Linked DNA regions of Cricetulus griseus. The protein of the gene in region 2 interacts with the protein of the main gene of each other region in a pairwise test. Links are inferred from orthologs where the notes say so. Each region holds a gene or a part of one and is shown on either strand. Other genes may lie near its edges.

Region 1 (13,346 bases), on a different chromosome or scaffold from region 2:
ATAACAATGGCACCTACAAAATATTGGGTCACCTTTAAATTGAGAAAGACTAACTCAGCAATGTTAGAAAGCAACATTTAAGAATAACACTATCACAACCCCAGAGAAGCTAGATAACAAAGAGGACTCTAAGACAGACATACATGGATCCCCCTGCAAAGGGGAAATAGACAAAATCTCCTGAATAAATCAGGAGCATGGGGGGTAGGGGGTAGGATAGAAGGGGAGGGAAGAGGGAGAGGATGGAAGGGGAGGGGAAGGGGAAAGCGGGGAGGAGAGGAGTCGGAGAACAGGAGTGAGCAGGATGATTGAGTTGGGGTAAAGACAGAAAGGGAGAACAAGGAAAGAGATATCTTGATAGAGGGAACCATTATGGGGTTAGCTAGAAACCTGGCACTAGGGAAATTCCCAGGAATCCACAACTAAGAACCTACGAACTAGTGGAGAGGGTGGTTGAACTGTCCTTCCCCTGGAATCAGATGGATAACTTCCTTAATTGTCATCATAGAACCTTCATCCAGTAACTGATAGAAGCAGATACAGAGATCCACAGTTAAGCACTGGGCAGAGCTCCTACAGTCCAGCTGAAGACAGGAAGGAGCGATAATATAAGCAAAGAGGTCAAGACCATGATGGGGAAACCCACAGAAACAGCTGACCAAGTGGGAACTCACTGACTCCAAAATGACAGGTGGGGAACCTGCATAGGACAGAACTAGGCCCTCTGAATGTGGATGACAGTTGTGTCTTGGGCAGTTTATGGGACCACAGGCAGTGGGACCAGGATTTATCCCTAGTGCATAAACTGGCTTTTTAGAGCCCATTCCCTATGGAGGGATGTCTTGCTCAGCCTAGATATAGGGGGGAGGGTCTTGGTCCTGCCTCAATGTGATGTGATGACAGACTTTGCTGACTCATCATGGGAGGCCTCACCCTCTCTGAGGAGTAGAAGGGGGAAAGCTGGGGGGGGGGTAAGCGGGAGGCAGCGAGGGAGGGGGAACTGGGATTAGTATAAAAAAATAAGAAAATAAATAAAAACAATGTAAAACTGTAAACATTTTTGGTACTAAGACTTTCTTTGAAGTAGTGTAATGAAGTTGTTAGAAATCACTAGGAAGCAAGAATTTAGGTGGTTGGCTGAGCAGCTGTGGACAGGACTCAATGCCTACATTTCTGCTCCCTCATTAGTGAAATGAAAATATTACTATCTGGTCAAACTACTTGGGGTAGCACAAGGATCAGGTGACACAGTGAGTACAGAGTCATGTACTGTACTTCTTCAGTGGGGCTGGCTTACTATTTCTCTAGTTAACACTCTCTGTCGAGAATAGCAGAGAGAATACACTTCAGCCAAAGACAGGAGACAAGATGAGGAAAGACAGAAGGAATGGAAATGAGAGAGGAACAGATAATGGAAAAGACAGTGTGTGCTTAAAGATATGCAATTCTTCCTTGAGATTTGCCAAACTCTCTATCTGGCTTTTAAATAGAACTTTTTTTTTCTTTTTAATTAGAACAAGTTACTTAAAGGGATGATTTAGTTTCTCAAAAACTATAGTAACTGTTATAGTAAGAGTCCAAGAGAAGAGTCCTGCAATTAGTAGAAGAAACTTTAACTATTTTCATCAAAAGCTTTTCCAATTTTCTAGTACACAGGAACCGCTTTATTATAAATGACTAAACAGCCCAATAAGATGAGAAGTAGCCGCTCTACACTGGAGAATGGCTCAGTCAGCAAAGTCATGCCATATAAGCATGAGGCTCTGAGTTCAGATGACTCTCCAGCACCCACTTCAAAACTGTGGTGGCATGTCTATAACCCCAGCTCTGGGATTACAGAGACAGGAGGATCCCTGGAGCTCACCGTCTACCAACAGATAAGCTCCAAGTTCAGTAATAGAGCTTGTTGCAAAAACTAAGGTAGAGTGATGCCTAGGAAGATGCCTGAAGTCAATCTCTGGCCTCCATACACATTCACACACATGAACATACACAAAAAGATGATAGGTAGTTGTTTAAGAACACAGACAACTCCATGTACATCAATCACCGATCATGATATTACTTTTAAACCTAATTTATTGTTGTTAGGAATTATCACCTATGATTCTAAGCCTATATTTGGTAACTTAACTTTCCTAAAGTATAAAAATCTTTAGTCACTAAGCTAAAACTAATTAAAACCATATTTTGCAATCTAAAAGTTCAGTTTGATACACAAAAGTCAATGTGCATTGTTTATGTTCCATTAAGATCAGTAACCTCATGGTAAAAAAAAAAAGTATCTACACCACATGATAGGGCTTCATTATTAAATGAAAGTGAATCCTTTTTATCCATGTGCATCATCTGGCTAACTCAAGATTTTCATGTAATCTAATACCACAAGAAGCTGAAGAAACAGTTCAGCTGGTAAAGAGCTTGCCGAACAAGTGTTGAGAACTGGAGCTAGGATTCCCAGCACCATGTAAATGCCAGGTGGATGTGCGATTGCATGTGATCCCAGCATGTGGAGATACAGAGGGTCTCTGGAACAAGCTGGCTAACTAGACTACACTGAATGGTGAGCTCTGGGTTCAAGTGCAAAACTCCGCCTCAATACACAAGGTAGAGAATGCTCACAAACACAACAATCACTTGCTCCTACATACACACACATACTCTTCCCAACATGTCAAGAGTACTAACACACATGAACACGCATGTACATATGCATATACACCTCCTTGACCAAGTATGCATAATATATTCTCCCCCTCTATTTTTAGAGACATGGTCTCACTATGTAGTTCTGGCTGTTTGGAACTATCTGGCTGGCCATAAAACTCACAGAGTTCTGCCTGCCTTGGCCTCTCAAGTGCTACAGGAGTGCTCAGCTTATTCCCATGTTTAATATTTTTATTAAAGTTTAGAGGTGACTTTGCAATATTTAGTTGTGAAAGATTAAGTGCCAGACAAAACTTAATGGTTTATAAAACTAAAAGGGCAAGGTAAGATTACTGAAAAATATAAATTGACTCTACTTCCAAGAATATAAATGTACCGTTTTTTTTCATTACACCGTATATTATATTTAAATATTATTTAGGGGCTGGTAAGATGGCTCAGTAGATAAAGGCATTTGCTGCCAAGCTTGTGGATCCAAGTTTGATCCCCAGAACTACATGATGGAAGTACAAAACTAATTCCTGAAAGCTATCCTCTGACTTCCATACAAGTGTTGTGGTACACATGCACACACCACACACACAACAGGAACACACAATAAATAAATACAAAAAATTAAACTCAAACAGGCATTTAATCCTACAAGTCCCTAAATTAGCTAACAAAATTAGCTAACAGAAAATTCATACCATAATCCATTTTAATCGCAACAGTCATATATTAAATACCATAGTCCAAAACACAAGTAAAATGTTAAAATATTATTTCAGGAATAAAAAATTTTAAAAATTATAGAATGTGTGTGTCTGCATGTGTAGATGTGCAGTCTGTGTGTCTTGTGTAGAGGCCAGAGGACAACCTCAAGTTCATTCCTCAGGAGCCATCACCTACTTTATGAGACAGCTCCCTGGCCCAAGGCATAACTGGCAGGCTGGGCTGGCAGGCCAGCATACCTGAGGCATCTACCTAGCTTCACCTCCCAGCACTAGGATTATGGATGTATGCTACCATGTCTGTCTTTAGTATGTGAGTTCTTAGGCATCAACCCTGGTTGTGTGGCAATCATTTTACTGACTGAGCTATCTTCCCAGTACTAACAAACAAAGATACTAATCCAATAACAATCATTACATTAAAAAACAAAACAAAAAAGAAAAAAACAAAACAAACAAAAAACAAAGGACAAAAGCCAGGCATGGTGGCACATACTTCTAATCCCAGAACTTGGGAGGTGGAGACAGAAAGATCACAAATTCAAGGTCCTTAGCCACATAAAATTTAAGGCCAGTGTGGGCTATGTGAGACACTGTCTTCAAGCAACAACAACAAAAAACCACAAACAAACAAAAATCCTCACAGGAAAGGCTAAAGGTCCATTCACATTCTATTTCATTCTGAGATTACAAAGGCTTCTACATCTAACTGTTGTTTTAGGATTTACAACTGATAGGAATTTACAAATATCTCTGTTAAAAACTCTAATTTTCAAAATTGACTATATTATATGGTCTACTTTTCACTTGGGGTAAGGGAATGGGTAGGGAGAAACCAAACTAAACCAGCAAGGTAAACAGACAGGAAACAGTTTCTTGCCTTACAACTCAAAAGGTCTACTTAGTGTAGATCAAAATTGACAGTTTGTACAGTGAGCGTCCTCTTACTTCAGGCAGTGCAGTGCACCAGGGTAAACTCAAAGTTCCCAGGAACTGTATCTGTCTGCTACAAATGCTACAAAAGTTCTTGGGATATAAAGAAAAAACAAACCAACAACAACAAAAATAACCCTATTTTCAGGGGCTGGCGAAGTGGCTCAGTGGTTAAAGAGAGCACACTGTTGTTCCAGAGAAATCCAATTTGGATCCCAGAACCCATATCAACAAGTTTACAGCTGTTGACACTACGAGCTCCAAGGAGATCTGAAACCCTCTTCTGGTCTTTGTGGGCATCCACTCACATAGACAGATACATACACATAGATAAAAAAAAAAAAAAAAAAAACTAAAACCAAAACCCTCTGCTCTCTAGCATAGTTAATTATAGTTTTCAACATATAGTTTATAGTATTCTCTCACACATCCCAGTGGGGTGGGTAAGAGAGAAATATTACTAAAATGAAAGAAGTAGTACATCAAGGTTAGAGGTCTAAGACTACACCCACACCCACACAAATTCACTATCCAGTAACCAAACGGAGCCTACAACATGGGAATCCTTTTGTTAAATATGCTGTTAGCTAAGACTCTAAGGTGCAAATACGTACTACCAATGACTAAGCCTTTTATTTGAAAAGCCATTAGCTAACATACAAAAGAACAATCACATCTCAGCAATTAAAGAAACCAACAATTAAGTAGATAGCTTTTTAGATACTCTGAGCTACCATTTATCAGACCTTTAGAATTTATTAAGATCTTTTTGCATTATCTTGCTTTCCTTTCCCTGAAAGAAATGTCTATTTTCAAGATGGGGACTCAGATTCTGAGAGGTTGGAGAACTTGCCCATAATTTGAAAGCTTTTGAGTGGCAGACCTCAGAGTGGAATCCAAATCTGTGTTTATGGCTACTCCATTATGCCACTATATTTTAGGACAGCAGAATCAAAGAGCCTTGACATGTGTAGCAGATAAAAAGAGAAAAGGATATATAATGCACTAAGCATATCTGTGAACACTGGAAAGTGGGGGAGAAGAACAGAGAGAAAAGGAAGCACAGATCAAATGCAGCAATGGCAGTAGAATCAGTGTAATTCCTAATCCATTCAGTTCCTTGGGCCTTGTAGTGTGTTAGTAAGTGTCAATGCTACCTATTTTACAAGGGGCAAATAAATGAAAAAGAGCGACTGTTGGCAGCTCATTAAAGGCAGATAGGAAAACAAACCATTTTTTTTTTAACTTCATTGAAAACAATAAAATATTAAAAAGACTTGAGAGTAAATCCTGGTCTGGAACCAAGCCAGTATGCTACCCACCAGCAACCAAAGCCATTTTTTGAAACTCAATGAAATAGAGGGAAACAAAACAGTTCAAGGAAACAATCCATGAGTCTTTTCAATAAGAGTAAATTTAACAATGAAATCCAGAGTAACCTTGAAGTTGATTCTGTAGTTTCTTTTTTTCAGGATCATCAGATTCTGCTTCCCCATCACTGTCATTCCTAATGAAGAGAATTTAATATATGCAAAAGATCACTCACTGCTAATAAACAATGCAAAAGTGAAAGAAAGATAACCTAAAATGTTTAAGTAAAAGACGTTGACATTAAAAATTATTTTTATTTAAGTGTTCCAAATGATGCTTTTAAGAATATAAAACAGGAAGCAGGCAAATAATCAATAGGGAACTATGCACTGGAAATGAACAAGACCAGGATGAAGTCAGATACACCTCCATCCTCATGATATACTTGTGCATTTATGTATCCACAGGTTGTATGCCCCATACTATTCAATGAGGGACTTAAAATAGAGTACAGGAAAGTTGTAAGAAACTACAAAAACATCAGGACCAGGTCAAACATAACTCAACAAGACTTGATGCTAGGAAGAAAATGTACAATACACAATTATCTACAACATAACCCTTTGCCTGAGGTTCCAAAAAATAGAAAAAGCTTCCTAGTGAAAATCTTCTGAACATACAAGAAAAATGGCCAGCCTACTTATGTTGATTACCTTTTGTCAACTTGATACAAAGCTAGACTACTTGGGAGAAGGAAATCTCACTGAGGAATTGCCTTCATCACACTGGACTGTGGAATATGTGTGGCACTATCTTGATTGCTGATTGATGTAGGAGGGCCCAATCCATTGTGGGCAGGTGAGCTTGGGCTATATAAGGAGGATGGCTGAGCAAGTGTGGGAATATCTGGTGAGGGGTGGTGGTGGTGGTGGTGGCAGCAGGATCTCTACTTGAATATAAAATTCCACAGGTATGAATTCACTCTATGTCCCCATATGGTATCCTGGGTAGTTTTCCTAATGATGGGAACTCAAGGTTGATTCTCAAAATTCTGTAAAGTAATCCCTATAAAAATCAGTAAGTAAGTCCAGTCCTGCTGCTTGTAACCAAGACTGTTATTTAGTAGAGAAGACTGGCTCTCCCTTAACAGGCAGCCATGGCAGAGCAGGTCATTACAGGGTCCTCACTAACACACCACATGTCCCAGCAGACAGGAAGACCAAATATTCCTGCTGACAGAAGTCTGTGATATGTGGAAGCCCCGTATGTTCATGATGAGTATGTGCATTTCATGTACAGAATATAAAATACTCTTGGCAAGTCACAGAAACTCTGTTTCCTAACCATATCTTAACAGAGAATATAAAACTCGGGGCTTATAATTCTCTTCAAACTCTGCCACACAGAGTTAAGGCAGTCAAATCTAAATTTTATACTTCTCCTGTCCTTAACTTTGGCAATTCCTAAAGAAGCAAAATTTCAACATGAACAAACATGGGCGGGGAGCACTGACTATAGGGCTCCATCCCTCATTCCCTCATGACCTTGGGCATCATCCAAGAAACCTGTTGCCTGCAGAACATAAACTGAGAGCATCATAGGTTCCAGATCTCACCAAATCCTCAGTGCTTCCAACCCAGGCAGGCCACATCAACCCAGAATCTCATTTTCCTAATGTGTCATCAGAGCCATGCTGGCACCCATTCATAGACTCAAGGACAAATCTAGCTACCGCATGTCCTCCCTGCTTAGCAGAGCTGGGAATGCATGCACTAAATGTATAGTAAATGCTCTTTACATTTGTGATACCTAGGTGCACCTAGGAAGATATTTAAAAACTGGAGCTCACTGTTCAAAAACTGTGCTGTTGCTTTCTTCACAATGGCATAATGCAAATCCACATTTAAAAAACCCTTTGCATAAAATAAAAATTGACATTATTGGAGTTCATTTTCATTTTGTCCATAGGGTCAGATTTAATTCACAGGTCACTCCAACTGAATGTCACGGTTTTGTTAGTGCCATGCCCATGGTGTTTTCCCAGTTACCTGAAAAGTCAGGGAGGTATAAACATGCAATAAGCACAGACTAGTAAACTTTGATCTTTGAAAGACTTGATGGTAAATATTTCTGGGTTTTGTGGTTTCTATTGTAACCACTCAACTCAGCTGCCTGAGATGACAGTAAATAAACTGTCTCAATAAAACTTAATGACTAAAATGGGCAACAAGCTCACTCTGGCCCATGACTCATAGTTGGAAAATATCTGGCTTAGACAAAAGAAACCTATAACCAAATAAGAGGTTACAAAATGTAAAATTGAACACTTTAAAATACATACCCCTTCTCATCAACTGCACTGGACTGTTCCTCTTTCACGGGCTTCTGTGGCTTCTTCTCCTTTTTCTTCAAATACTCCTTCAGTTTTTCTGCTCTATCAAGGTATTCTGTACACTTGGCCCTGATACTTTGCTTGGCTTTATCACCTTGTGCTTCATCTGTAGAAGGGAACGAGACACTATTTCATTAGCATTTGTTGTGGTCTGAATATGAAATATCCCCACAGGCTCGTGTATCCAAACACTTGGACCCCAGTGGGTGATGCTATCTAGGAAGGTTAAGGAACAGTTAGGAGGTAGAGCCTTGCTGGAGAAACTATGTCACTGGGAGTGAACTCTGAGTTTTTTGGGGTTTTTTGTTTGTTTTTGTTTTTCGAGACTGGGTTTCTCTCTATTGCTTTGGAGGCTGTCCTGAAACTCACTCTGGAGACCAGGGTGACCTCAAACTCACAGAGATCCCCCTGCCACTGCCTTCTGAGTGCTGGGATTAAAGGCATGCGCCACCAGTACCCGGCCAGATTCTGAGGTTTTATGATTGGACTCTATTTCCCATTCTCTAGTTTCCTAAGTGTTGGTGTTCTGTGATCAATTAGCTCCCTGACTCCCAGACTAGCCTCACACTCCTGCTGCCATGCCTTCCCTGCAATGACAGGCTGGATCCCCTCTGGAACTGTATGTAAACCACAATGAGGCTTTTCTTTCCTAACTTGTTTTCTGCCACAGTATTCTATCACAACACCAGAAAAGCAACTAATATAGTATTCAACAGAGAAAAGTTCAAACTTAGAGCTATTCTTTTAACTAGGAATTTCTATGACACAGGAGAAGGAGAAAGCATTGCTAATTCATTGTGTCCAGTGATTATCACACCTTTTCTGTTCCTTCTCTCTCGCTCTGTTACAGGATGGAAGCCAAAAGTGGGTGTGAATTTAAAAACAAAACAACAACAAAAAAACTTCAGAGTAAAATGGTAGATATTTTAAGTTAATGTTATATAATCACAAAGTATTTAACAGTCTATAGGTTTCAAATTCTTCCCTTTAACAGTTTGTAGATAGCTGAAAGCTGTCTTACATAAAACCAACCACAAGCTGGGTGTGGTGGCACACACCTGGAACTCTGTGAGTTCAAGGCCAGCCTGGTCTACAGAGTGAGTTGCAGAGCAAGCTCCAAAGCTACAGAGAAACCCTGTCTCGAACAGCAAAAAAAGCTGGGCGTTGGTGGCACACGCCTTTAATCCCAGCACTTGGGAGGCAGAGGCCAGTCTGGTCTCCAGAGTGAGTGCCAGGATAGGCTCCAAAGCTACACAGAGAAACCCTGTCTTGAAAAACCAAAAAGAAAGGAAGGAAGGAAGGATGAAAGGAAGGAAGGAAGGAAAGGAGGAAGGAAGGAAGGAAGGAAGGAAGGAAGGAAGGAAGGAAGGAAGGAAAACAAAACTAAACAACCAAAAACACACAACAAAAAAACAACCATAAGAGACAACACACAACTCTGAATGTAGAATAGTGACTACTAAAGGCTGGGAAAGCAGCAGTTAGAAAAATGGCAGCTGGATTTGCTCTCTGTACACTGCAGGCATATGTTGATAGATAAAATAAATACAAGTGAATAAAAGTTTTAAGATATAAAAGATAATCAGAAGTAAATCAGTAGTAACTCCATTAACATCTTTTGTCTGCTTTATTTCACAGTATACAAAGTGACAGAAATCACACACATTATATAGACCAACAACACAGTAGCCTTATTACTATATTAAAAGCCTCTATCATGGCTATTCTGAAATGTAGAATTGAACAATACAGGCAATGCATAGGCTTATTCTCATGTGTCTTACGTGTTATATTTCATTCACAGTTTTTCCCTTCCACTTAAATGGGAAAGCTCAAATTAAAATAACCCAATGCACTGAGTGTAAGATTGGTGATGGATCTTGCAGGTTTTCATGCACTTGTTTCTTAGTGTTGAATCTCCAGTTCCCAGAATAGAGCCTAGCACATGATAAACATCAAGTATGCATTTGTAAAATACATTTAATATCGCCCAACCTATTCTCACGACAAAATCATTTCCAACAGATGTTTAGGAGAGGATTAAGTTCAAATCATATAATCTGGATAGCTTATCTATAAAACAAGGTTTTCTCCATTGAATACATAAAAAGATACTGGGTTTGTGAAGTAACATCTACAACAGCTGTCACATCTGTTAGCAGTACTTAAAAGTTAGGAGAACGGGGACTTTTTCTAATGGGTGGTTTAGAGCTTTAGAATTCTTGTAATAATTTTTTCCCTTTTAGTGCACAAGTTTAAGTAAAATAAACATGCCTTACACTTAACGACATGGAGAAAATACTGAACAGCATGTTGGTAGAGTTGAAGGGCTTCCTCATAGTTCCCAGCTTTGTCTTCCTGGGATGCTTTGCTTGCAAGATCTATTGCTTTCTGTTTGAGGGAGGCAAAATAATAAACTTAGTATGAAAGCATAAATCTTAAGTTTGAAGCAAATAATATTCCCTCCAAAACACACAGTGAGGGAGGTTAGGGAAATTCTCAAAATTTAAATACTGCTGAAGAGGAGACATGGCTCTGGGATTAAGGGCACCTGGCTAGTCTTCTGGGCAACCAGGGTAAAATTCTCAGCATCCACATGTCAGATCACAAATGTCTGTGACTCCAGTTCAGGGGATCTGACATACTCTTTTGGCCTCCATGGGCACCAGGCACATACAGCCCACAGATACACATGCATATACAGAACACCCATACACAGAAATTTAAAGAATTTGGAAAAACCCTAGTGCTGCTTTGCTTGAAGCATAAACATAATACACAGAGATAAAAACAAACAAACAAACAAACAAAAATAACAACAAAAAAACCCAACTGAACCCATGGAGCAATGAGAATATTAAAAGGTCATTAAAATCATATTAAAAAATCTTAGTAGCATGAAAAGAATCTGAAGAACACTTTTTGATGATCTGACAAAGATTCATTTTCACATCTTTGTGACAGGAACTATTACAGAGATTAAATAGAGCCATACAAACATAGCCAAGGTGTTAAAGTGATGTAGAACCGAGGCTTTTAAAATGGTATTGTACCAAATGGGCATCCATGAGGGTACCAAAAAAAAAAAAAAAAAAAAGGAATCTTAACTTAAATCCCATGTGTATGTGTCTAGCAAAAACTAACTCAAAATGAGCAGACTTAAACCTATAGAAAAAACAAAAAAAAAAACAAACAAAAAAGTTCTTACATTTAACATCAAAAGCACAGTGTATACAATGAAAAGATGTTAACATGGAAAATATCAATTTAAAAATATCTGTTTTCTAAAAGATTCTAATGATGAAAAGACAGTACAGACTGGGAGAAATACTGTGAAGCATCAGACAAAAGAGAAATATCTACTAGATTGCATAAAGGGATCCTGAAGACATAACAGTTTAAAAAGAATCCATTAATGGGCTAGTGAGATGGCTCAGCAAATAAAGGGTCTTGCTACCCAGCTTGATTGAGAAACCCACACAGTAGAAGAGAACCAATTAGTCCTACAAGCTGTATTCACACAAAAGCCTGTACATTAATGAATTTTCCAGGCAGCCTTCAATGGTATCACTACTAAACAGCTATATAAATACCATCAAACACTAGGCAGCAGTAAAAAGGGATGGACTATTGCTATATAAGATGTGGATGAATCTTGAGGCTATTATGTTGATTGAAAAAAGCCAATGCTAATCGTTGAGTATTAATGGCTCCATTTATATACTGTTCTCAAAATGTCAACATCAGAGATGGGAAGTGATGAATTCTGCCAGGGAATTGGAATGTGAGTGAAAGAGAAAATGGAGGTTCAGTGTAGACTTAAGAGAAGCAAGTATACAGGGTCCCTCTGGAACTGCTCTGAAGTGCAATGCCTGTTTATGCGCTGGTTATGTGTTTAGTTTTGGACATAAACCTGTGGTGATAGACACACAAACACACAAAAGTACAAGTCAATCTGTGGAATGAGTAAGAGTTACAGAATGTGTCAACATCAATATCCTGATGTGATACTGTACTGGTTTTACAACATGCAACTAGGGGAAGGGTACACTGAAAATCTCTTCTCACTTTTTAAAACTTCATGTTGTCTCAAAACTGACTACACTTTTTAATTTAGGGGCTAGAAAAATGTCTCAGGGGTTAAAAACACTCACTGCTCTTCCCAACATCTCCATGGTAGCTCACAATCAGCTGTAACTTCATTTTCAAGAGGTCCAATGCCCTCTTCTAGCCTCCATGGGCATTAATAACACACATGGAGCACAGACATAATGCAGGCAAAGTACCAATACACATAAAATAAATTGTAATGTAAAATATTTGCAGACATATGAAAATAAGGAACTCAACTTCTTTTTCTTCTCTCCATGCATGCTTGTCTTGTATATTCAGAACCAGTTTATATCCATTCAGATAGACAACCTTGAACTCTTTACAAACTCCAGACTCCAACTCCCCCTCTCTCACTTTGTAACTGAAGGCACAGACTGAACTATTTTCTTTCTTAAAATTTTCTCTGCACCAGCTTTACTTGTGCATTTAAAGCAGTAACCACCCTAATTTGGCCAGTCACCACCTTCTACCACACAGACCTCTGTCTTGTAAATGGCCTCCTTTCGTTCATACTGGCTACCAGTTATATTTGTTACTGTGTGAAGATGAAAGTTTGATTCTGAAAGGAAAGTGTGAAAATGCCACTCAACTGTCCAAGGCCTTTCTGTTGCTTTCCATGTACAGTTGAATGAGGACCCACCATGGGACACAGCACACAAACTCCTGTGACAACCTGTTTCCATTCATGCTCCTTCCTTAGGCTCTGAGTTCCCGTCATCAAACTGCTGGTACAACCTAAACCAACTAAAGCTACACACATAACTGACATACAAAGAAGACCTATGCTATTGTCTCCCTGTAAAATTCCAGCTTCTTAAGGCTTCAGTGCCAGTATGGCCCTCCTGGTCCAACACACTCTCCAGAACCAACCAGTCTAGTATATACTTTCTGGATTCCTATGATCACCTGTACATGTTTCTAATGATTATATTCTGTTCTATTGGTTGCTTTCTGCTTTTATATAAACCATTAGATTTGTGTGAACACAGACATGTGTATATACCGGAAGTCACACACAGACACCAATTCCAAAAATCTTAATATAGTTTTATATGGACAACAAATATTTAGGACTGGGTCATCTGAGTGTTTTTTCTTTTTCTTTTCTTTGTTTTTTTTTTTTTTTTTTGAGGTTTAAGTCACATTCTTTTACTTGGAGTTTTCTCCATCTCGCTACAAGTTTTTTTGTTTGTTTGTTCTTTCAATTTCTGCATTTT
Region 2 (12,075 bases):
GCACACCTTTAATGCCAGTTCTTGAGAGGCAGAGGCAGGTGGACCTCTGTTAGTTCGAGGCCAGCCAGGTCTACAGAGCTAGTTCCAGGACAGTTAGGCTGTTACACAAAGAAATCCTGTTGGGGAAAAAAAAAAGGTGTATTTTTCCCTTTATAAAATGTCATACCACCAAGGTAAGAAATATTTCCATCACCCAAGTAATTTCCTAAATGACATTTACCTTTAGACAAATTATGTAATTTATTTGCTATTGCTATTGTATCTGGCTTTGTTGCTGCTGTTGTTACCAGTTTTCCTTTTGTTGTTGTTGTTGTTGGGGGTGGTGGTTTGAGATAGAGTTTCTCTTCAGCTTTGGAGGCTGTTCTGGAACTCACTCACAGAGACCCACCTGCCTCTGCTTCCCAAGTGCTGGGGTTAAAGGCGTGTACCACCACTGCCAGGCTTTTCTTTTTGTTTTGAGACGTGGTCTTGCTACGCAGCCGTGGTGGGTCTTATACTCTACATATAACTCAGGCTGACCTTGTACTGATAGCAGCGCCATCTCGGCTTTGTAAGTGCTAAGATTACACTGGTGTGCCATTTGGTCTGACAGCTTATCTGTTTATGCTATGACTCATTAACTGCCAATAATACGGAGGCTGTGTGAAGACAAGATCTTAGTTCACTGAGGTTCCCAAGTTCATAGTGCCAAGTTCACAGCAGCTACTAAACACATGCCTGAAGAATGGTATATTCCAAATAGTCAAATGGAAAAATAGAAACTTTAAAACCACTAAAGGAAAGTACAGATAGGGGCTGGTGAAGGGTTCAGTGGTAAAGGTCCTTGCTGTCCAAGACCGGCTACCAGAGCTTGATCCCTGGAACCCATGACAGAAGGAGAGAACCAAGTCTACTAGCTGGCTTCTGACCCCACTTCATGTGTTCCTGCGTGAACGCACTCTTGAGCGCACACACATTTTTTTTAAAAGGATGATTATAAAATACCTAGCTAGGTATGGTGGCATACACCTATAATTCCAGTACTCAGGAGGCTGAGGTGGAAGGACAGCAAATTAGGGATCATTTTGGACTATCTTGAAGGACTCCTTTTGTGGTTTTTTGAGACAAGTTCTCACTATACAACTGTAGTTTGTCTGGAACTAGCTGTGTAGACCAGGCTGGCCTTGATCTCTCAGGGATCTTCTTACTTCTGCCTCCTGAGCACTGGAATTAAAGGCCTGAGCCACCACTCTGGGCATTTTTCCTCCCCAAAAGAGAGGGTCTTTCATTGGCTTGAAACTCACATGGAGGCTAGGCTGGCTAGCAGCAAGCCTCACAGATCTACCTGTCTCTACCTTCCCAGTGCTGGGATTATAAGCACTCATTGCCATTCCCCAGGCCTGTTTTAATTTTCAAGTAACATTTATTAAGCTGTGTGTATCCACACATCCGAGGTGTACATATAGAGGTCATAAGACAATTTGTAGGAGTTGGTTCTCTGCTTCCACTGTGCAACTCCTGAAAAGCAAATCTGAATCCTTTGCAAGAGCAGCCAGTGCTTTTAGCTATGTTTCTGGCTCTCCCCCTGCCCTTTAGATAGGGTCTTATGTAGCCTAGACGGGCACTGAAGTGGCCATATAGCCAGGGATTTTCTTGAACAAGAGTTCAAGATCCTCTGCCTCTACCCCCCAGATGCTGGGATTACAGGCATGTACCACCACGCCCAGCTCCCATCTTCTTATTTTATTTATTTTTGGGGAGTTTTTTTTCTTGTTTGTTTTGTTTTGTTTTTTAGAGACAGGGTTTCTCTATATAGTTCTGGCTGTTCTGGAACTCCCTCTGTAGACCAGGCTGGCATCAAACTCACAGAGATCCACCTGACTCTGCCTCCCGGTTGCTGGGATTAACGGCCTGTGCCACTTCCACTTGGCACTTTTTTTTTTTTTTTTGAGACTGGCCTCTCTACATAGCTCTGACTGTCCTAGATGTCCTAGAACCCACTGTGTAGACCAGACCAGCAGGACTCAAACTCACAGAGATCCACTTGCCTTTGCCTCCCTAATGCTAGAATTAAAGGTGTTCACCAACACACACAGCAAGTATCTTATTTTATGTGTATAGGTGTTTTGCCTGCATGTATATCTGTTCTCCAAATGCATGCCTGCTATTCAAGGGAGTGCAGGAAAAGGTGCAGGGAACCCTAGAACTGGAGTTGTGGACAGTTGTGAGCCTCTGGGAGGGTGCTGGGAATCTAATTCAGGTTCTTTGGAAGTACAGCTAGTGCTCTTATCTGCTGAACTGTCTCCCCAGAGCATTCCCCCTCCTTTCTGAGACAAGGTCTCACTCTGAAGTCTGGGTTGCTCTGGAACTCATGATCCAATTCCCTCTGCCTAAGTACTGACAGTACAGGTATGGGCGAAGACGCTTAACTCTTCACACTTTTGTGTAGAACATAGAAATTAGTAAATGCTTGCTGGAGAGAATAATCAATGGGCATTCTGAGTAATCGGAGGTGGGGGATCAATATGGAAATGAGCAGATGAAGGCAGAGGTGGACGAGTCCTTTGACAGTAATTGCCATTCTGGCACCAGGTGGTCAGATATCTCTGTTACTCTCAACTAGGGTCAAGAAGCTCCTGAGCCCGAGATTGATCTGGAAGCTCTCATGGAACTATCGACAGAGGATCAGAGGACTCAGTTGGAGGTAGAATGGGAAGCTGGGGACTGGGAACCTAGGGTCTGCTTCCCTGGGTGTCATGAAGAACACCAACTCACAGCACCACACTAACCACCTGAGCTAACTACCAGCTGCAAAGAACAAGTTATGGGGGAGGGATCTTGGGGAAGACTGATGGGCGCTTGTGGGGAAGTTGTACATCTGTTTACCTGGCTCTCTTTCATCCAGGCCATTCTCCAAGACTGCCCTTGTGACAGAGAGGTAAGGCATATTATGTGTCTGCAGTGGGAGAAAGCCTAATGGGGGAGGCTAGGATGAATAGAGAACATTTGAAAGGAAAGCTTGGCCCTACATTCGTTTCTTCTCTTGCTCTGGGGACATTCGAAGACAGATTAGGGAGGATAGCATAGTGACTGTGATTTCCCGTTTGATTCACTGCTCTTTCTCCCTCAGCCTTTCATCTCTGAGCTGCTCAGTCAACTCAAGAAACTTCGAAGACTCAGCAGGCCTTCAAAATAACACTGGAGAGACCATCTTCTGTAGCTTAGCCCTGTCCTGGATACTGGCTGAAAGGTCTTCAATATAGACAAGGGATGCAGAAGACAAGGAGAGACACTTGTACAGCCCAAGTGTGTGTACAGCTACAGCTGGGCTCTCTCTGCTGGGTTCTCTGCAAGGCAGTTGTGGCTGCTGCCTAATATTTCCCTTGGCAGCCAGGATAAAAACTTTAGGAGGAAACAAAGAACCAAGTGTGTGGAGTGTGGTGTGTATCTATGCTGGGGGATGGGAGAGAGGGAGTGGTATTTGGAAGACCAATATCCTAAGTCCTATGGTTGTGCCCACATCATCTATCCATCCATCCATCCACTACCCTCATCCCCACCCCTATGCCAACCGGTGTTGGGAATTCAAAGATGGAGATCATAGCCTGGCTTTGAAGAGATTGGAATAGTGAGGCCCAGAAGCCATATGGCTGAAGCACACAGCACCAGGGCATCACCAACAAGAGGGGCCCAACTGGTAAAGATAAGCTTTGAATTTCACCAAGGAGGTAATAGGAAACCCCTCACTGGATCTGGAGCTTTCAAGGAGGTTTATCCCTGCTCCACTCAGTGTGGCAGGGGTCTCTACATGCTACTCTAATCTTGGATTGGTTGCCCATACCAGTCTCTGCCCTTAGTGAACTGTGGAAAATGAAAAAAGCAGAGGATATGTAGAGTGAGAGTGAGTACCAGGGGTTGGGTCAAGTTGTTGGAAGATGGATATTAGGTCTTTAAAGTAGGCAAGATGGGACAGGAGCCAGGAGGTAGGTCCTCAGTGAGGCAGGAAGCAGGTCATGTATGGAGTGTTCCTACATTCATTGTTGAAGTACTGCTGAACTGTCTCCCCAGAGATAGGCAGATATCCAACATGGAAGGGTCTTATGAGTAAGCTAAGCTGTCCTGAGTAGAAGGTACAACTCACTAAGATGAATATTCATACTTGGTGTGAGGCCACCAGGATGGTGGGACTGTTCTTACTGGGAGCTCACGATATAGCACAATCTTTCCATGAACTCCACAGCAGACTGCTTTTAGCCTACTGTGTTCTTAGCGCCTCTCACAGGCCTCAGGCTCAGAGGCCACAGGATTCTGAATATAGATGGTGTTGGGAACCTGGAGGTGTAGGTCAGTGTTAAAGCACACATGTAGCATGTATGAAATGTGGGTTCAATTCCCAGTACTGCCAGAAACAAGCTCACAGATAAAAAGGGTCTGGAGCTAGGGATATAGCTCAGTGGTAGAGTCCTTGTTCAGCATGTGCAAGGCCCTGGGTTCAAACCCCCAGTACAGAGAAAAAAATTCTTGGGCTAATGACTCTATAACATATTTTATTTTATTTATTTTACATTTTGTTTATTTATTTATTTATTTAATTTTATTTTTTTACCATTGAAATTGTTTTAATGTTGTTGCAACTCCAAAATGCAACAATCATCAGCTTGTAAAAGACCCAAATTTCAAAGTCATTTTAATTACTCCTTCAGACCTATTCTCATATGATATCATAACATTTTACATTTTAAATTAGAATAATTTATCAACAGCATCTTTTATTAGCTCCACTATAGGCCAGGGCTGGGCCCTGGAAACGGGTTTCAGGGCTCATCCTTAGGTTCAGTCTGATCTTCCCTATCTGCCTCTCAGTTTTAGTCCAGCCTCCTAGAGGGGGCCCTTACTCCTCCTTCCCTCTGGCTCCTCTAAGAGTCATGACCTTCAATGGACTCTTTCTTCTTTACACTGACTGCAAAGCTCACAAGAGTGTGTTTACCATCAGTAGAGCAGGATCGGCTATCCCACTGGATGCCCTGACACCGGGCCCGGGGGAGCTGTCCCAGCCTGCTGGCTGCCTGTGGCTCTGCCACCTCAGGAGGGCATCAGGGTTTTCCTCAGTGTTCTCGGCCAGGTGGTCGGGGGCGGTAGGCAGAAGTCTGATGCTCTTTAAGATCAAAGTTATCGTGGCCCTCCCTGGGGAGCAAAGGGGTGAATGGCAGAGATCTTGGCAGCCCTCAAGTCAAGACCAATCTAGCCTCAGAATGTTCTACTTGCACCCACCGGAAGCACCGGGCACAGTAGAGGTCTCCATCGCAGCCAGCACAGCGCAGGACAGCATCCTCATTGCAGATACAGCACCAGGGGAGCTCTTCTTCCGCAGCCTGGGGCCCAGGAAGCAGAGACTGGGTCTTCAGGAAGACAGGAATAGGGAAGGCAAGTACAGATGGTGCAGAGAGCCAGAGCAAGGCTGTGGCAAGTGTGGGGATACATGTGCCGGGCTTTTCTCACCTTAGTTTCTGCCCTGCAGGATTGGGCCCGGGGTCGGGGAGCTGGTTCCACAGGGATGTTAAAGCCACTTGCCTCATCCAGGGCAGCTTCTTCGGTGAGCTGTGAACAGGGAAGAAGAGAACTACTTCCTGCTCTCGGTCCAGGCTCCCCTCCCAGCATTTCTGGGTTTTGTGGCCTAACTTCTCAGCTCTTCAACCTTTACCTCCTGCTGTTTCTTCCTGGTTTCTTGAGATAGGAAATATGGACCTCAACTAAAATTGAAGCTGTGGAATGACCACTCATGTGGCCCTAAAGGCCAGTGAATGAGAACAGACAACAATGAGGCAGAGGCAGAGGCAGAGGCAGAGGTGACAGGTGGGTAACAAAGCTACCTGCTGCAGCACTCTCTGGATGGCTGTCTCTTCATCCTCCTCATCACTGTCTGGTAGGTGATAGTCCTGGAGGGTCACTTGAATGGGGTACAGGAACAAAGAAAGGAGTGAGGTGAGCTATTTCACCAGATGGCTGCCCTCTTGTCTTCTAGAACTGTTGGTTCCTGGGGGCACCTATTCAGAGCTGAGAACCAAGCTGCTATGCCTCCCTCCCCTAGTCCTGCGAGGCTGGGCCATCAGCCCTGAGAGTGGAGGGCAGTCTGAAGGTCCCACTGTCTCAGAGTCCTCATTCTTTACTCTGTCCATCATAGCTCATGGCTCTGGATGGGACAGATCCTTTGGCACAGGGACCCTTAGTAACCATTTTAGCACTGGCAGGGAAAGTGTAGTCTGAGGTAGCAGTAGACCTTGGACAGGGGGTCTGAATAAGGAAGCTATCTTCGGCCTTTACCTCTGTTGGGGTCCTGTCCCTGAAGTATAGCCAATCTTTTGGCGAGAGCCAGGATCCGTTCCTGCCTGGTGTTCTCCTCTCGTAGCTCAATGGCTGCCTCGGCCAGCAGCCTGCTCTTCTCCTTCTCCAGGGATGGGCTGGCCTGCCCCTGGGAATTTGTGTGCTGGTTCCTTGTACCTCCCTTGTTGAGGTCATTCTGGAGGGGGGCCACTGGAAGGGGTAATAGTTAGGAAGGCAGAAAAATTCCAGAAGCCAGTGAACCCATTTCTCAGCTATTTTTTAACCATATGTTATCAACTTTTGATCAGTACTAGGCTTATATTATATTTCTTCCATTTTTACAAATATAAAATAATTTGGGGCTTTTTGTTGCTTTTTTTTTTTTCTTCGAGACAGGGTTTCTCTGTGTAGCTTCGGAGCCTACCCTGGCACTCACTCTGGAGACCAGGCTGGCCTTGAACTCACAAAGATCCGCCTGCCTCTGCCTCCAGAGTGCTGAGATTAAAGGCGTGTGCCACCAACACCTGGCTGCTTTGAGTTTTTTTTAATTATTATTAAAGATGGGGGTTTGCTATAAAGTCCAGGCTGGCCTGGAACTCTTGATCTTCTTGCCTCTGCCTCACAATTCTTATGATTACAGGTATGTACCATCATGCCTGGCAATACTAGTAATTTTAGTTGTGTCTTTTTCAAATGCATCAGCCTCTATCCACCTAGTTAATATAGGGTGGTTATCCTATGGCTTGAGAATCACTGCCCTAAGGGATCAGGATATGGGAAGCTAAGGTTTAACTGGGCTGTCTTTCAGGGCTGGAATTAGTATTTTCTGAGAGCAGAGTGAGAGATCCTGAAGGAAGCAGCAGTCTTAGATAAAGGGCAAGAAGAAATTTTATCAGAGTGGATTTGGCTCTGACATGGTCACCTTGAGTCTAGAGTTTCAGAACAGGGGCTTTAAAACCAGTTCACTCCTGTAATGACCTCAGCTGGGAGGTGCAAGTAGGAAGATCAGGAGTTCATGGTCATGGCAAGTTTGAGGCCAGCTACATGGGACCCTGTCTCACAAAATAAAACAAAAACAAAAATAGTGTTATGTAGAAGGCTCATCCCTGCCAATTAAGGGCTGTGCCTGTGGCCAAGCCCCTGAGCTTACCAAGCCTGTTTCCTCAGTTATACATAAGGGTTACAGTCCTCCATCAGACCAGTGAGGTACCCACTGAGACTGAGTCTATACAGCAGTTTATCACTCTTAGTTCTTTTGACAATTCTCTTTTAGGGGGTGGGGGGCTAGCAACTGCACATTGGGTCCCAGCAGCATTCCTGTCTTTCACCTACCAGGTGCCAGCAGTACCTGTCAACTGTGATAACAAAAATGTCCCTAAACACTCCCAAAAGTGCCCTAAAGGTAGAAGTCATCCCTAGTTGGAATTCTGCTATGGAGCCTTCATACACCACTGTCCAAGAACCTCCTGTGATGTTGGGAACATGCCATAGCATGTCCTAGACTCATGCTGTCCATGATGTTTGCTGCAAGCTCACGTGGAGAGCCAGTGGTTGAAATGTGGCTGGCAGCAGAAGGCAACTGAATCTTAACTCTTCTAATTTAAACCTCTTACCCATTATCAGTGTCTTCACTGCAGACAATCCTTGCTAAGTCCTTATTATGAGCCGGGCAGTCCCAAGCCCTTACTGTGTTATTCCATTTATTCCTCATGACTTCTCCCACAACACAGGTTTTACCACACATTGCTTGAGTTTACAGATTAGAGATTTAGACAGGTCAAGGAACACATGGAGGGTGGTGGGACTGGAATTCCCCATCTGATTCTAGAGCCAGTGCAAGAGGCCTACACTGGCTCCATTTGAAGTAAGCACTCGGTACTCAGAAGCTCTTTAGTGTTGACCATCCTGTGACTCATATTCGCCTCCTCAGAGGGCAGGCAGAAGAGGCAGGGCATGACTATGGAGAAGCCAAGTGGACTGGTTACCTGGGGCTCTTCGTTCCCAGCTTTCATCGATAGCCACCTCAGCTGCCAGCTGTGTTAGCAGATCCTGAGTCTGCTGAGCCTGGGTCCTGGTATCTGGTGCCTGGTGTGCCTGTGCAGAGGAGGGAACCTCAGTGGGGAATATCGGGATGGGGAAGGCCACACCAGAAGTCCAGAAGAGGTCTGAGTCAGGGGTGGATGCTGAAGAGTTTTCAAAGCCCATGGAAAGGGATGAATTCAAGGTCCACATAGGTGAGTAGGTTGGCAGCTCCCAACAGGACTGAGTATCCACTCTTTGCTGACGCACTCAGTCCTGCTGCTTGGCACTGGTCTTTGGCTTGAGAGCAGGCCTAAGGCTCAGGAGGTAGGGGTGAGAGGCTTTACTAACTCCTGCAAAGCACATGATCATACATGTATCTGGGCTTCTGTAGGGAGCTTGCCCTAGGAAACCCTTCTCTCCCAAGCCACAACACTCACCGGTCTCACGGTGTGAGAAGGTGGTACTCTGCCCTGTAATGCTGCAAGCCGATCCTCCATTTCTCGTGTGGAAGGGATGGCGCCCTGGACTTCATCCTTCAGGGCAGCTAGCCGTGCCTCTATCTCTGCTTGTGAGGGTACTGACTCTGCAATTGGCAAGTGTTTGTAAGGGCTGGAGGCAGCTCAGTCCCAAGCCCTGCACCCTGCCTTTGAGGTCCCCCTGTACACTTAAACTCACTGGGCTTGTTTTCCTGACGGAGCCGTGCTAGGCGATCAGCGATGGCTTGGTCTTGTTGGGTCAAGCCCTGGCTCTGGGAAATGCTGGGCTTTTTCTTGGCTTCCAAGGCTGCCACACGCCTAGGAGGATATGAGGCAGACACTCTTAAGGCAAAGGGGAAGACTGAAGGCACCCATCCAAATCAATTGGGGCCTCTACAGGCAGTCTTCTGTGACCTCTATTTATGTGGTACTGCAGCCCAACCCAGCTGACCAGCTGTAGGGTATGTCTAACAGGGAAAGAGCTCCCAGATGCCTTTTCTGAGAACAGATTAATGAGCTGCTTTCAGAATCCAAGAGGGAAGCAGGAGCCCAAAGGTCTGCACCCATGTGGTCTGCAGATTGGAAGGAGAGCCCTGCTACTGGTGTCCTTGTCCTTTGCCATCCCCACTTGTCTTTTTTTCAGTACTTACTTCTTGTAGTTCTGAGGTGGCGACCACTTGGAGGTATTGTCGGGAGGCCCTCTAGAGAAGGAATTTGGTGTGAGAAGTCCCATCATGCCACCCAGCAGTGATTTCTACACCAAATACTTCCTAGGCAGACCTCTGGCCAGGGAGCACAAGGCCACAGGGCCTGGTCAGATGCTTAGTGTCACATCTGTCTGAACCCTTGCCCATGCCCATCTCTCACCTGGTCAGGACTGTGTGGCACTGCTTGCAGACTTTCTGTTGAGTGTTGCCAGCCCGAGGTACCAGAGCGTTGAAGCTAAGACAGCCGCTACAGAAGGCCCGGCCACAGTTCTTACAGCCATACTATAAGAAACACGAAGCAGGAGGATCCGTTTCTCACCCACCCCTGTTGGCTCTTCTCTGGGACTCTCTAAGCACTCACAGAAAGAAGAAATTAAAGTTGTGACCAGATGTTGGAGGAAGGAAGAGGAGTGGGATCCCCAGGGTCCAGGGAGAGATGGAGTAGAGGGCACAACAAGCCCTTGGTTTCCAGAGTCTTGTTCCGATCAGATAAAATTTCAGGCAAAACTCACATGCTTTCTGCCATTTTTAGTTTCTTACCATGGGGGTGAAGAACAAAGACAAACAAAGCTCTGTGAGTCAGGTCACTGGCTAGTCAACAAAAGAGAATCAGACAGAGTGTAGATACTGTGCTTTCTCTGCTCGGGCAAGATGGTGGGAGGTTGGGCTCAGGATAAGGGCATTAACAATAGCTTCAGTTATTAAGTGCTTAGTGTGTACCAGGCACACAGCTTGAACCTTAAAATTCATCATCTGATCCAACCTCATAATTTACACACAGTGTCATATTTGATCCTGATGCCCACATCAGTATCTCTATTCTAACAGGGGGCAGAGAGTTACCTGACTTGTTAAACTTAGGTCTTAACTGTGTAAATCAGGACAGCTGGGATTTGAACCCTGACTCCAAATGCATGCTCTGAGGTGCTCCGTCCTGCACACCATGAACTCATCCCATTTATTCCCCTCTATCTCCCCGGAAGCTTGCAAGGAGAACCTGGTAAGCCTGTGTCATGAACAAGAAAGCTTTTCCATTGTGCCCAGGGGAAAGTGGAAGCTTCGTAATACAACCTGAGAGTAACGGGCATGGTGTGATGCGCAGCGGCCCTAGGATAGTAAAGACAGAGATGGAGAAGAGAAGAGCAGAGAGAAGCAGGAGGTAGATGCTCCACTTGTTGGTAAAAAAGAAGAAAAAGGCGTAGCTTTTGGAAACTGACAGCAATAAGCTTTATAATTTATAGGGTACTTTCAGGTCCACACCTTACCAACCCCCCTTACAATTATTTCAATTTTACAATATTTCTTTGTGTGTGTGTGTGTGTGTGTGTGTGTGTGTGTGTGTGTGTGTGTAGATATGTGCATGCTATGGCACGTGTGTGGAGATCAGAGAATAACTTGAGGTAGTTCTCTCCTTCCTGGGGTTCCAACTGAGGTCATCAGGCTTAGCAGTAAGTGCATTTACCCGCAAAGCCATCTCACTGGACCTCATCATACCATAGTTTTAACCCCGAAAGCGAATGGGCATACGCCCCTCTTTACAGAAATGTTAACTGAGTTACTTCGTCAAAACTACACCACTAGAAAGAAGCAGTCAAACTGGGTCTTTGGCCTGCAAGTCCCGAGCTCTTCCCTTCGCCCCGCGTCCTTCCTTGGCCCTCCAGCTCTCTAGAACACTCGCCTCCTTCTTGAAGAGGGTGAACTTGACTGCACAGCCGTAGCACCTGCTCTCCATGGCGTCTCTCAGCGCCGCCGATTCGTAGGATCGCCTCTCACCAACGCAGTGAAGGCCTTTCCGACCCTCAGCCTAGGCAGCCCAGCCCTACACGCCCACCTGCGCCATCCAGCTGCGGCCCAGCGCGGGGAATTCTGACTCTCTCCGCTCGCCACCGCGCGGGCGGCGGCGGAGTGTGGGATGCTGGGAGTCGTAGTTCATTTTTCACGACACGCTCATCCACAGTCAGTCAAACCTGAACCGGATCACGCCGATTCCCAGGGGGCTTAGCGCCTTTGGGCCGGCTCCGAGCCAGTACCGCCTCCCCGCGCGCGCTCAGACTCCTGGGAATTGTAGTATCAGTTCGGTCAGGGCTGGAACCATGGCGGTGACCAAAGAGCTCTTACAGATGGATCTATACGCGCTGCTTGGCATTGAGGAGAAGGCGGCAGACAAAGAGGTGAGAACTCGAGAGGCACTGCGGATCTTCGGTCCTCGCGCCTGGCCGGCGCCTGGTCCCGGCTCCCTATGCTCCGCCCATATATACCGGACCAGGAGCGAGTACCGGCCTAATGCCTAAAAGGGGGGCCTGGGGCTTTTCCAGAAAGGACCTCTTTAGGGAGGGTGGCACTGAGGACTCGGAACTGTGTGACTGACTGCGCTCTCCTAGGCCACAGTGTGTGGTCGCCGGTTCGAATCTGAGAGCCGGGCCTGCTTCGTTGCGCCTGCGCAGCAGCAGTCTTACCTATGTGTGGAGATGTTTCGTTTCAGTTCCTAAACCAGTTTTTTTAGCTTCAGGTTGGTCCTGGGAGGGAAGAGAAGTTAGCTCTTTAGGTTCTTCACTCCCTTCTCAGCCTCT

What was found.
Region 1: the proteins of Zfyve19 (region 2) and Vps4b interact in binary tests that used the Homo sapiens proteins (3 or more experiments, as listed by UniProt). The two-hybrid records come from large-scale screens. The link is inferred for Cricetulus griseus from reciprocal best matches to the Homo sapiens genes ZFYVE19 and VPS4B.

Annotation. Positions count from the first base shown.
Region 1 is NC_048598.1:77,793,433-77,806,778, forward strand, and holds part of Vps4b (vacuolar protein sorting-associated protein 4B), read right to left. Parts: intron 10,408-13,346; coding exon 10,296-10,407; intron 8,123-10,295; coding exon 7,966-8,122; intron 5,821-7,965; coding exon 5,753-5,820; intron 14-5,752; coding exon 1-13.
Region 2 is NC_048599.1:59,268,881-59,280,955, forward strand, and holds Zfyve19 (abscission/NoCut checkpoint regulator), read right to left. Parts: upstream 11,464-12,075; 5' UTR 11,238-11,463; coding exon 11,184-11,237; intron 9,788-11,183; coding exon 9,666-9,787; intron 9,500-9,665; coding exon 9,449-9,499; intron 9,117-9,448; coding exon 8,998-9,116; intron 8,906-8,997; coding exon 8,760-8,905; intron 8,395-8,759; coding exon 8,286-8,394; intron 6,511-8,285; coding exon 6,301-6,510; intron 5,927-6,300; coding exon 5,850-5,926; intron 5,578-5,849; coding exon 5,479-5,577; intron 5,379-5,478; coding exon 5,251-5,378; intron 5,164-5,250; coding exon 5,085-5,163; 3' UTR 4,507-5,084; downstream 1-4,506. Other genes in the region: Ppp1r14d (protein phosphatase 1 regulatory subunit 14D), read left to right, coding at 2,603-2,683, 2,885-2,917, 3,110-3,175; Dnajc17 (dnaJ homolog subfamily C member 17), read left to right, coding at 11,599-11,676. UniProt on the Homo sapiens protein: Key regulator of abscission step in cytokinesis: part of the cytokinesis checkpoint, a process required to delay abscission to prevent both premature resolution of intercellular chromosome bridges and accumulation of DNA damage.